2 linked regions of the Rattus norvegicus genome follow. The protein of the gene in region 2 purifies or fractionates together with the protein of the main gene of each other region. This does not show direct contact. Links are inferred from orthologs where the notes say so. Each region holds a gene or a part of one and is shown on either strand. Other genes may lie near its edges.

Evidence for each region.
Region 1: the proteins of Seh1l (region 2) and Nup85 purify together in Homo sapiens (affinity purification with western blotting; 4 studies listed by BioGRID and IntAct, with this or other methods). This does not show direct contact. The link is inferred for Rattus norvegicus from reciprocal best matches to the Homo sapiens genes SEH1L and NUP85.

Annotation. Positions count from the first base shown.
Region 1 is NC_086028.1:101,303,150-101,309,827, forward strand, and holds the start of Nup85 (nuclear pore complex protein Nup85), read left to right. Parts: upstream 1-2,285; 5' UTR 2,286-2,308; coding exon 2,309-2,341; intron 2,342-2,928; coding exon 2,929-3,022; intron 3,023-4,660; coding exon 4,661-4,823; intron 4,824-6,405; coding exon 6,406-6,476; intron 6,477-6,678. UniProt on the Homo sapiens protein: Essential component of the nuclear pore complex (NPC) that seems to be required for NPC assembly and maintenance. As part of the NPC Nup107-160 subcomplex plays a role in RNA export and in tethering NUP96/Nup98 and NUP153 to the nucleus.
Region 2 is NC_086036.1:63,628,511-63,634,675, forward strand, and holds part of Seh1l (nucleoporin SEH1), read left to right. Parts: coding exon 1-43; intron 44-4,337; coding exon 4,338-4,478; intron 4,479-4,893; exon of another isoform or gene 4,894-5,009; coding exon 5,010-5,167; intron 5,168-6,165. UniProt on the Homo sapiens protein: Component of the Nup107-160 subcomplex of the nuclear pore complex (NPC). The Nup107-160 subcomplex is required for the assembly of a functional NPC.

The DNA of each region.
Region 1 (6,678 bases), on a different chromosome or scaffold from region 2:
TGTGTCCAGGCCTATAGGAACCAGAGGTCAACCTTGGGTGTCATTCCTCAGGTGTCATCTGCCTGTTTTTGTCTGTTGAGATAGGCTCTCTCACTGGACCTAGAACTCATCCTATGGCTATTCCTACTGGCCAGTGAGCCCCTGTCTGGGAAAAAAGGTGAGGGAATATCGAGCCTCGAGGGATGACTCAGAGATTGGGAACAGTGCTGCTCTTACAGAGGACTCAGGTTCACTTCTGTGCACCCGCATCAGAGAGTTCCCAAGTGTCTCTAATTCCAGTTCCAGGAGACCTGGTACCCTCTTCTTGTCTCTATGAGGATCAGGCAAGCATGTGGTGCACATACATATATATAGGTACTCAAGCAGACATAGAACATAAAAAGTAAATATTTTTTTGGGTTGGGGGGCAGTGGCCCATTCCTTTAATCCCAGGGGCTAGGAAGGCAGAAGCAGTTCAGTTTCTGTGAGTTCTAGGCAAGCCCAGTCTGCATAGTGAACTCCAGGCCAGCCAGGGCTACACAGAGAAACCCTGACTCAAAAACAAAACAACAAAGTAAAAATTCAATTAACTCTACACAGCTTGCTTATATTTAACTTTTAGGGCTTTTTAAAAAAGATTTATTTATTATATATGAATACACTGTCGCTGTCTTCAGACACACCAGAAGAGGGGATCAGATCTCATTACAGATGGTTCTGAGCCACCACGTAGTTGCTGGGATTTGAATTCAGGACCCCTGGAAGAGCAGTCAGTGCTCTTAACCACTGAGCCATCTCTCCAGCACCCCTTTTAGGGCTTTTTGAGACATAGTTTTGTTGGGCTCCAAGTCATGGCAATTCTCTGGCCTCAGCCTTTCAAATTCTTGAATTTCAAGGAGGTGTCAACATACTCTGCTGACAATTTTTATTTAATCCATCTGACTATTATTTTCTTAAAATAATTGTTGGGAGGTGGTGGTGCACACACCTTTAATCCTACTAGCACTCAGGAGGTTGAAGTAGTCAGCTCTCTGTGTGTCTCGAAAAACTAAAAACAGAATTTATTCATTGAATCCCATTACAGATGGTTGTGAGCCCATGTGGTTGCTGGCAATTGAACTCAGGACCTCTGGAAGAGCAGTCAGTGTTCCTAACCACTGAGCCATCTCTCTACCTCTTTACTTTTTTTTTTAATTAATTGTTTATTTAGCTCTGATCATATGTGGTAGATTTTGTTTAACTGTACAGTAAATTCAGTCTTTTAAAAATTATTGTATGTATACTGGCTGCATGCATATCTGCATGTCTGTGAACTACATGTGCGCCTCACATCCACAGAGGCCAGAAGAGGGCATCAGAATGCCTGGGATTTTTCCATGTGTATGTGAGTGCTTTGAATTGATCCAGTTACCCGGGAAGAACAGCATATGTGCTTAACCACTGAGCCATCAGTCCAGCTCCCCAAATCATTGATTTCAGTGATTAGGACTTGGATAAAAATTTGACAGAAAGATTTTTCTTTATTTCCTTAATGCCTGGTGGGAGTTTGTTTTCTGAGGCTGGGTTTCACTTAGCCTCACATCAAGTGAGCTCAACCTTGCTACATAGCTAAAGCTGGTTCTGAACTCCGAATTTCTGTCTCTACTTCCCAAGTGCTGCAACTGCCGGTTTAAGCCACCGTGCCCTTCTTTCAAGTCATGTATGCCCAACAATTTAAGGTAGAGGAGGTTTAGAATAATCCTAAGGAAAGAAAAGTGGCCAGTACATAAAAGGTTGAAGTCCTGTTGTTTTGGGGTGTCAATGCCCGCGACCAATTCCAAAGTAAGCGCGTTATACTTGTCGGAGTAAGAGAAAGGGACTGAGAATACTTAATAACAGACCCTGAGGGAGGGATCCCAACTACCGCTAAGAGCTAAAATAGGATTACTGAGGCGGAGTAGCTCTGCAATCCCAAGAGATGCGACAGCAAGGATCTGCGCACGCGCACACCCTCCCAGCCACCTCCTCTCCCGCCATCTCCCGGGGCCTTCCTCTTGCCTAGTGTGGGACTGTCCATGGCGCCGCCTGATCTAGTGGGAACATTCCGTGAGGACCGGTGGCCCCTGGCGACGTTTTCCTGAGGTGTTGTCTAGGTTAGAATAGTAGGAGACGTGTGTAAAGCTGCAGAGGCCTGTGTTTGGCTGAGGCGAAGGGATTTGTTGCGTTGAGATGTGCAGGCGCTTCGGAAGCCGCCCTGATGGGGTCCTCTTTGGCAGCTGGCTGTGAGCGGGAGGCCTGAGCTGAGAACAGCAGCAACGCGGAGGGGTCCCTGCTGCGGGCGCACCGCACTATGGAGGAGCTCGACTGCGAGCCCGCAGTAACTGTAAGGACGCCCGGAGAGGCTTGCTTGTCTCACTGTGAGGGTTACGTTTCTTTGGTCACTTCAGGCTTGCCTCCGTACATGTGGGACGCATGCTTTTTCTCTGGACACAGTTGCCACCATCCAGAATGTCAGATCAACTGGGAACTAGGTTAGGGCGGTGGTGGTCCCTAGGCTTCGGGTCCTGTGAATACTGGCCGGGCCGCGGAGGCCCCACTGCATCATCCCTTGTTTCTCTAACCTTTCTGCTTCTCTAGTTTCTCTCCTTGGGCGTTAGAATGAGCTTGGTGTAAGCTCCACATCGTCGCTCCAAGAGCTCAGTTGGCTTCTTCCTCTGGCTCAAAGCTTAATAAGTGCGTAATTTATTCTCACGAGAGACTATAGACCACTTGTTTCTGTCGCTTTGTATTCTATTCCGCTTACATAGAAATATTTTAAGGTGTGTGTATATGTCTGGATATGTGCACAGAACCGTTGGATACCATCTAGGCTGCCTGCCTGAACTATGGTGTCCGCAATCACACTTGGAAGTTGAATGAAAAGAAAGCCCTAACTAGGGCTAACAGTTCCTATGCCTTCTGTTTTACTAGTGGATTCCAGGTGTGAATTCCAAGAAGAAGCAAATGTGTTTTGACTGGGGCCCAGGGGAGATGCTCCTATGTGAAACTTCCTTCAACAAAACAGGTAGGTAGTTCTTGTTCACTTTTGTCTTGGTACATTTGTTGACTATCAGGGGCAGGAAACTGAAGTCATTTGGCAACATTTTTTTATGTTTGAAACTGTTTTTTGTTATTTTGAGACAAGTTACCCCTATATAGTCCTAGTGGGCTTGTCTTTGTGCAACATATGTGGGATTCGGAAACTACGTCTTCCAACCTCGATGTCCAGAGGGCTGGGATTTGAGGTGTGTCACACAACACAAAGTTTTTTTTGTTTTTTTTTTGTTTTTTTTTTTTTAATTCTGTCGTCTGTGCATGGGAGTTTTGTTTGCATGCCTATTGATGCACCACTTCGTGCTTGGTGCCTGCAGAGGCCAAAAGAGATCCCTGGACTCTAGGAACTAGAACTGTATATTTATGTGAGTTGCCATATGCGAGCTTGGAAGAGCTTGGCTGGAAGAGCTGCCTGTGTACGTCTTGTTTGGTCGTCTTTGGTTTCTTGAGATGGTCTGGCTGTCCTGGAACTGGCTCTAGACCACACTGGTTTTGAGCTCAGAAATTATTTGCCCTTTCTTCCTGAGTGTTAGGAATAAAAATATGAAATTTCAGCCAGTGGTCTTAGTCACCAAACCATCTCTTCAGCACCCTTCCTATAATGGACCTTTAGACACGAGCCATATAGCTCAGCTGTGGTGACGCACACTCGCACACCTTTCATCCCAGTACTCCGCAGACAGAAGCAGGTGGATCTGTGAGTTCAAGGCCTGCCTGATCGACAGAATGAATTCTAGATCAGCCAGGGTTACTCAGAGAAACCTTGTCTTGAAAAACCAAAACCAACCAACCAAACAAACAACAAAAAGAAATGAGTCGGACTGTGTTGCCTGCCCCAGCTGAAGGCAAACTCTTGGGTTCAGGCAATGCTTGCAGTCGTAGAATTTTTACTGTGCAGAATAGTTGACGGAGGATAGAGTGTTCCCGGCTGCCTGAGATACGATGCCGAACCCATTCTCAAAAAACCAAGGACGTAGGCTGTCGCTCAGTGATGGCATGGGCAGCATGGGCATGCCCAGGAGGCTTAGGGAGAAGGATTGCTTAGACTAGGACCCCATCTCAGCTCTCCACTTGAAAAACTCTCCTCTTCCTCTTCCTCCTCCTTCTTATTCCTCTTCTTCCTCCTCCCCTTCCTCCTCCTTCTTATTCCTCTTCCTCCTCTTCCTCTTCCTCTTCTTATTTATTTATTTATTTATTTATTTATTTATTTATTATATATAAGTACAGTGTAGCTGTCTTCAGACACACCAGAAGAGGGCATCAGATCCCATTACAGATGGTTGTGAGCCACCATGTGGTTGCTGGGAATTGAACTCAGGATCTCTGGAAGAGCTGTCAGTGCTCTTAACCACTGACTCATCTCTCCAGCACCCCTCTTCTTCTCTTTTATCATAGACCTGGCTTGCTTGGTCTATTGCATGCACTAGTCTTCTCTTTCATTTTAATCCTCCTGTCTCATTCTTCCTCTTGCTGAGTGTGTAGACATGTGCCCCCCATGCTCAGCCAGTTTTTGTGACTAAAAAATTAGAAATACTGCAGTGTTTTCTCTTTGGGGGAAAATGATAGATGTTAAATTAGTTTTTGTTTCCTTTTTCCTGTTTTGTTGCAGACAAATCAGAGAAGGTCCCGAGCTGCCCCTTTATTTATATCATAAGGAAAGATGTCGATGTTTACTCTCAAATTTTGAGAAAACTCTTCAACGAATCCCATGGAATCTTCGTTGGCCTGCAAAGACTTGAGGAAGAACTGTCCGGGAAATCCAGGAAAGCTCAGTGAGTGGTGGGTGCTGGAGCTCTAATGGAGTCGTGGTGAGAGGCACCCTTATCCTCCTGAGTGGCGGAGCGCCTTGGAGAGGATTCCTGGTCTCCAGGGTGCCTTCCCAGGATGTAGTTGTAGGTTGGGGAAATGCTGTTAGAAGACTCGGTGGCTTGGTATATCAACTCTTCGCTGTGGAGTCCTACTTCATTTGTGTGTGTTCCTTGAACACCACCACCCACCAAAGTAAAAAGAATATAAATAACACGACCAAAGAAGCCCTTGATTCGATCTCATTCTTGGAAGAGTTAAAAATGAGGCCGGCAGATGTTCGCTAACGGGCAGCCTGGTCTGCATAGTCAGTTCCAGACCACCCAGAGCTCCATGAGCCAGACTCTGTCTCAAGACAAAAGAAATGTTTATAGGGGTCAGCAGTTGAGGCAAATGGAAATAATTGCCTCTGAGGCTTATGTTTGTGACGAGGAATCAGAATTTGTTTTGCTTCCTTTGAGCGCCCAGCTGCTGAGCCACGTCACTGGGCCTGACCTCCAGGCTAGGATTTGTTTTCCTTTCCTATTTATTTATTCACTTATTTCTTCGGTGTGTCCTTTGCTTGAGCTCCGTAAGTAGATGAAGGTGAAGCTGGGTCTCCTCGAACACCCGGGGTGTGCTCTGCTGACTCAGCCTGTGTGTGTACAAATCTGTGTGTGCTCTGCTGATTCAGCCTGTGTGTGTACAAATCCGTTGTATTCTTGAGTTTCTGGTCCTCTTGCCTCCACTTCTCAAGCTTGGGATCATGGACACGGCTGCCAGGTGTGCTTTCATCAGTGCTTGGGAGCATTGCACTCCGGGCTCTGTGGGGCAGGCATTCGCAGTTGTGGAGGAGCAATGGAGAGCTGCATGCTGCCTTACTGCCTGTGGTTTGCTGGGTCTGCTCTCTTTTTTTGGGGGTGGGGGGGCTGGGGACCGAACCCAGGGCCTTGCGCTTGCTAGGCAAGTGCTCTATCACTGAGATAAATCCCCAACCCCTGGGTTTGCTTTCTTACAGCATCCAGGACCCCCAGCTAGGGGTGGCCCCCCCCATATCGATTACCAACTGAGAAAATATGCCACAGGCCTGACTACAACAGCAGTGCTTTCAGCCTGAGCCGTCCATGCAGACCAGGCGTGGTTTATGTTTAACTGTGTGTGTGTGTGTACACATTGTGCAGGTACCTGTAGAAGCCAGGAGATGGCATTGGATCTCTTGGAACCAAAGTAGTTGTGAGCCACCTGATATGGGTGCTGAGAACTGAACTCTGGCCCTTTCCAACAGTACTACGCTCTCTTAAAATCATTGTGACAGATCTCTAGCCGTTTGTGTGTGTGTGTGTGTGTGTGTGTGTGTGTGTGTGTGTGTGTGTGAGTTTATATATACTGGAGCACTTCACATCTCCTGAAACTGGAGTTGCAGGTTCATGTGAGTCACCTGATGTGGGGATTGGGAACCAAATCTGGTTGTTCCTGCAAGAACAGTCCAGCCGTCTCCTTTTGATTCTTCTCTTTCTAGCATCAAGATATGGTCGATGTCATCTCCTATGTCATTTCATTTTTTTGTAGATTGGTTCGAGTGAGTAAAAATTACCGGTCAGTTATACGTGCCTGTATGGAAGAAATGCACCAGGTTGCAAGTAAGGACCCTGTGTATAACTGAAGTACATTGTCTGGTGCTGTTTGCTCCAGTGGCCTTTCAGGAGGCTGCTCTGCAGTGTGTAACAGGGCCTCGTTTTGATATGTGATAGATGCATCAGTGATCACATGGAAATGGGGGTGGTGGTGGAAGAAACAGCAGGAGTCATGAGAGGTCTGAGGGCAGAGGAGGCGGGATACAGT
Region 2 (6,165 bases):
CAATGGCCAAGGTTCAGATCTTTGAGTACAATGAAAACACCAGGTGAGTACTGCTTTGTTCAAAATTGAGTTATGTTTTAAGTGATTGTTTCTTTATTATCTGCATTGTACATGTTTCATTGTATAGTTACTGGTTTCCTGAGAGACACCAAGTTCTGTGCTATGCTTTCATTTATAGTTGGTGTTTTTTTTTTTTTTTTCCTTCAAAACAGGGTTTTTCTGTGTAGCCCTGGCTGTCCTGGAGCTCCCTCTGTATATCAGGCTGGCCTTGAACTCAGAGATCTACCTGCCTCTGCCTCCCAAGTGCTGGAATTCATGGTGTGTGCCATCACAGCCTGGCCTGGTTTTTTTGCTTTTTAAAAAAAGATTTCTTTCCGGAGTCTTGCCTGCATTATTTTTCTGTGTGCCATGTGCATGCCTAGTCACATGTCTTAAGGGGTCATTAGATCTCTGGAATTACAGTTGTGGTGGGTGTGGGTGCTGGGAATAAAGACCAGGCCTTCTACAGGAACAAAAGTGTGCTCTTCACTGCTGAGCTGTCTCTCTAGCCCCATTGTTTTTAGCTTTTTGAGACAGTCTCATGCTACTCCCAGTTAGTCCTGAATGAGAGTTCATTCGATTTTCCTATTTCAGCCTTTTGAGTAGGTTGAGCTTAAGGGATGCACCCCGTTTGTGAAGAGGAAACTGAAGAGGAGATAGATAGTATCTGGTACCTCAACCTGTATTACCTTGTAGAGAAAATGGGACATAAGACTAAGGAGTGGGACAAGCTTTCAGAACTAAAAGAATCAGGATGTTGAAGAGTTTTCTACGTGGGGAAACCTGGTTTAAAGATTAGGTTAGGAATGTTTACTTAGCCCAGGACCTACGGGGTGAGTAGAAGTTGGCAGAAAGCCTTTCGTGTGACTAAGACTGTATCCGATAAGACCTGGGAACAAGACTTTGTTAGCCCTGCCACTTTAACAGAACAGGCAGAGGGGACGTGACAGGCAGGCAGACGCAGTAGCCTGTTCCACTGCTGTAGTGTCGTCTTACTTGTCGTGTCCATTTGAGCACAGGGCCAAACGGTACTTTAACTCTTCGTAGGAGTGATAAGTACTTTAGAAGGGAACGTGAGTGGTTGGTGAAGTTATCTAGTTGGGAGATGACAGTGGCTTTGGCATAAAGTAGGGACAATGAGAAAGGGGAAGACAGCAAGGTACTGCAGGTACCTCGTGCATTTATCTCCCTGCTTAGGACATCTGAACACAAAAGCTTTGACACTAACATTCTTCACAACTGAACACACCAACAGCCTGTGGTGAAGTCTTAGGTCAAATATCAAGAGTGACAGGTAGAAAACAGGGTCTTTGTTAGCCGCCCTGTACCTCTTTGTTTTGACAGTCTCACTGTGGAGTCTGGTCATTTCAGAACTCATTCTGTAGACTAGGCCTTCTGTGTGCTGTGATTTATTTGCTCTCCTGTCTCTCCCAAATTCCAGGGATCACCTCTGTACCTCCATACCAGGCACGCAAGGTGCCCCCTTCCTCTGTAAAAAATAAAAAATCTGACTAAGTCTGTCAGTTGGCTATTCTGGATAGGAACTACTTTAGACAACTGTTATTTAAATCTGTTTTTATGAAGTATTTTGAATATTTCAGAAGCACCAGTAAGAGCTGAAGATAAAAACATGAATGAATGTAATTTGGCATGGTGGCACACAGCTGGAATCTCAGCGCTTGGGAGACAGAGGCAGGCAGATTTCAGTTCAGGACTGGCCTGCTCTGCATAGTGAGTTCCAGGACAACCAGAGCTATGTAGAGAAACCCCGTGTGTAAAAGAAATTAAACCAAACCAAACCAACCCCCAAAAGAGAAACGTAATAGTGGCTGTTTAGTACAGCGCTGACCATGGTAACATTTTCTTCATGTAGTAGAAAAAGAAGCAGCAGCGTAGTCTTTGACTGAGCCAGGTAAAGTACTGAGCGATAGCTGCCCCTCGCTTTCAAAGTGTTCTGTAGGTGGGGTGGGGCAGGAGCACAGCGTGGAGGGCATTTTCAAGCTCCCAGGCTGCTGAGACTGTGCCGAAGTGAGGTGAGATTTTTCAGGTAGGTATTTCAGAGTGAAGGCTCAAGAGAATTGAAGAAAGGTAGGATGGAGAGCTCTGTCCTGTCTTCGTACGTGAAGGGTTGCTTGGCTGAGTGCTTCAGTCATGTCCATGCTGTTGAACCTAAGAAGGACCAAACTCTTGACATCCTCTTCCCTTTACAGTTTGCTTGATTCCTGGTACAGTCTTATTATGTACCCCTGGCTGGCTTGGACCTTGTTATGCAGATCAGGCTGGCCTTGGAGCCCTGGGAATCCACTACCTGCCTCTGCTTCTTGAGTGCTGGGATTGAAGTTGTGAACCTCCATGACCAATTCATTGTCATCTTATTCTGTTTACTGCTACAGAACACAATGTGAGGATAAGATATTGCAGTCACCTTCAGTTTTTACTCATGCTAGGCAAGCTGGCTACCATTTAGGTTCTTGATTTTTTTTGAGCCAGGGTCTTACTGTGTAAATCAGGCTGCCCTTGAACTCATCGTGCTCTTTCTGCTTGATTGTATCTGTGTACCACCACACCCAGGTCTCTCTTGCAATAGCTTTCCCCCTCTAACCCTAGGCAGGAAAGAAAAGGATAGAGGGATCCGGACAACATTGCCATTAGGCTACTTCCCACTTTTGATTTTGGCTCTAAGGATATCCAATTTCCTCTTGTTTCTTTGCTAGTGACTGCTTAACAAAATGATGGACAGCAGTCAACGGCAACTTACCAACAGTCCCCTCCCCAACCCACCCACCTCTCAGGGCCCTAGCATTTACATACTTTCTCAAAAGTCCTTAGAATTCTAAACATTACATAATTACAGAAACTCTCCTATCAGCAGCTGGCAAAGTCATGGCTCTGCTAGAGCTCAAGGAAGGAAAGCATAGTCTCGGGCTGTGGGCTCTGAGGCTCCGTATCCCACGCCCAGGATAAATATAGTCCCATAATATTTTTGTTTTTCAATGAAAGTAAAATTCTCATTACAAGTACCTTTAACTTTTTCCTCTTTAAAGGAACTTGGTATGTTGCCCAGGCTGGCCAGGAACTCAGTGATCTTTTTGTGTACGTCCTAAAAGCTGAGGTCATAGGTGTATGCCATCAGCCAACTCTCCCTTCCCTCCTTCCTGTCTGAGAGCTCACTATCTAGACCAGGCTGAAGTCCTACAGGTCTCCCTCCCTGTGGAGTGTGGGATTAAAGGCATGAACCACTATGCTAGGCTCTTACCCTTTTTTAACAAAAAAAGGAAAACAAAAAAGGCTAATGAAGCCAGATTTTATTTGAGCTAAGTTTTGATTAAGTATTTTTATGGACTGGTAACCTGTTGGTGGGGTTCGGAGATCTGAAATCCAGTTGTTGGTTTGGTTGTGCTCTGAGGCAATCTTTTAGCTTTTGAGCCTAGGATCCTGGACTGTGGCAGCCACTCTAGGCATCTTCTCTGTTTTGTGTTTTTTTCACTCTGTTTTTTCTTAGAAACATTTTCTCTGTGTAGTCCTGACTGTCCTGGAACTTACTCTGTAGACCAGACTGGCCTCAAACTTGCTTCCTCTGCCACCGTAATGTGGGGATTAAAGGTGTGGGTTACCCCACCTTGTTCATCCTGTTTTGTCTTATCTAAGGGCATTGAACTTTAGGGTCAGTCCTACCCTAATGATAATGAATAAGGAATAGATAAATTAAAAAAAAATTTTTTTTTTTTTGGAATAAGATTACATTTGTAGGCTCCAGTTTGGGCCTAGGAGTTAGTTATTTGGGGGCCACTATTGAGTGTTCCCGCAAAAGTCAAGCATTTACTGAGAGGAGTATGAAAAACATTGAGATACATTGATGAACCTTTTCATATTTCTGACTTTTTAAAAAAATTACTCATTTATTTTGAAATGGGGGTCTCCATCCACAGTCCTGGCCGACCTGGAGCTCACAGAAGATTTTCCTGGCTCTGCCTCCACAGCGCTGGGCTTAAGTAGTACCCATCAAACGTAGCTCAAACTGTTTTTATTATAAAGATTTATGTGTGTTCATGTACATGCATGTGCATGAGTGTACATATGCCATCTATGTGCTGGTGCCTGCAGAGGCCTGAGGAGAAGGTTGAGATCCCTTGAAGCTGGAGCTGCAGGTGGGTGGGAACCCTGGAGTAGGTGCTGGGACTCCAGCTGTGGTGCTCGGGGACACAGCAAGTGCTCTTGCCCCGGAGCCGGCCGCCTCTCCAGCCTCAAGTTCTGTAGTTTTATTTCTGAAAATTTTAATTACTTTTTCTTTGACTTAGGAAATATGCAAAAGCTGAGACTCTTATGACAGTCACGGATCCTGTCCATGACATTGCGTTTGCTCCAAATTTGGGACGATCTTTCCACATCCTGGCAATAGCAACCAAAGATGTAAGAATTTTCACATTAAAACCTGTGAGGTAAGTTGTAGAGAAATGCAGAATTTGAAAGTACTCTTTCCTTCTGCTTCTCTTCCTCTGAGAGAACAGTAAGGGCTCAGGTCTGCAGACTGAGCCCTCTTCTGAATGTTGTATGTGACCTTTGGAGTGAGGATTTAGTTAATTGTTCCAGTTACTTTCCTTGTTTCTCTGCTTCCTTTCTGCTACTCTGTTGGATTTTGAACCTCGTTTAGGAGAATAATGTGCTCATTTGTGTCTTCTCCCCCTGCTCCCCCCCCCCCCCAAAAAAAAAAAAAAAAAAAAGAGGCAATGAGCTTCATCTGTGGGGTGAAATAAGTCCAGGTTTTGGAGAAGTCAAATGAAATGGTGTTTATGTAGCCCGAGGGCTGAGTGGTAGTGGGCAGTGGGCAGTGGGCAGGGGACATAAGTGCACATGTTGGGAAAGAATATGGTAAGCGTATTTATTTGTATTTTTTAGTTCAAATATATGTTTATGTGTGAGTGTATATACACACAAGACTCTTTTTGAGAACTTTGTAAATCTTTTTTTAGGAAAGAACTTACTTCTTCTGGTGGTCCAACAAAATTTGAAATCCATATTGTGGCTCAGTTTGATAATCATAATTCTCAGGTCTGGAGGGTGAGTTGGAACATAACAGGAACAGTATTGGCGTCTTCAGGAGATGACGGCTGTGTTAGGTTGTGGAAAGGTAAGGTTTTTAATAGAGGGGCAGTTGTTACTTATATTTACCTTTCACTTAAAAGTATAAATTCTGAAATATATATTTAAAATTGTTTTTAATATTATTTAAAATAATTGTCTTATGTTTGTACTATTTTGAAATACCAGATTACCTAGTTCATAGAAATTAATGGCCAATTGAATTGTTTTATTTCTATGTGGAAGAAAGCCAGTTTTGAAACTAATTAGAACATGCAGTGTCTTCGGGACAAGCTAATCTGGGTATCTGCTCTATTAAACCTTGACGAGGCCTCCAGTGGTCTTTGGTAAAAGTATTTGCCTCCCATGGGTAAGGAAATGAGTATGAATGTCTGCAACACCCCAGCTCCTTTAGGGAACTGGGGGCAGAGGGAGGAGACTTCTAACCTGGTAAGCACAGCTCAGTGAAAAAACCAGTAGAGTCCTTATCTTAAACAAGGTGGAAATAGGGGCCGACAGCTGAAGTTAACCTCTGCAAGGGTGCTATGGCACACATGTACCCGAACACGCATACACACATACACACAAATGCACGCATGCACACGAACACACACACACACACACACACACACACACACACACACACACACACACACACACACACTGTCTCTCATCCTCTCAGAGACTTTAAATCTATCATCTTTTTTTTTTCTTTTTAGACTCCAAAATTCAAGAATACTGGAGTTCTGACTCTGTGTTTTTTGTGTCCCACTGAGGGAACTTGGTCTAATCAGTGACACTGCCTTTGATGTCTGTAGCATCACAGTGGGCTGACTCTAGTCTGACCATCAGCTATAGAACTGCAGTGGGTCATTTGTCCTGAGTGCAGGCTGGCTAAGCCCTGATGGCCTCCCATGTTCAGTCTTACTATATATTCTGTAGGACCAGCCCAGATTTTCCTTTCCTCAATTTGATTTTAAGGATTTCTCTGTCCTTTTTGTTTCTAAACTTAAAGTAGGATGGCCTGGTAGTTAACCATTAGATCCT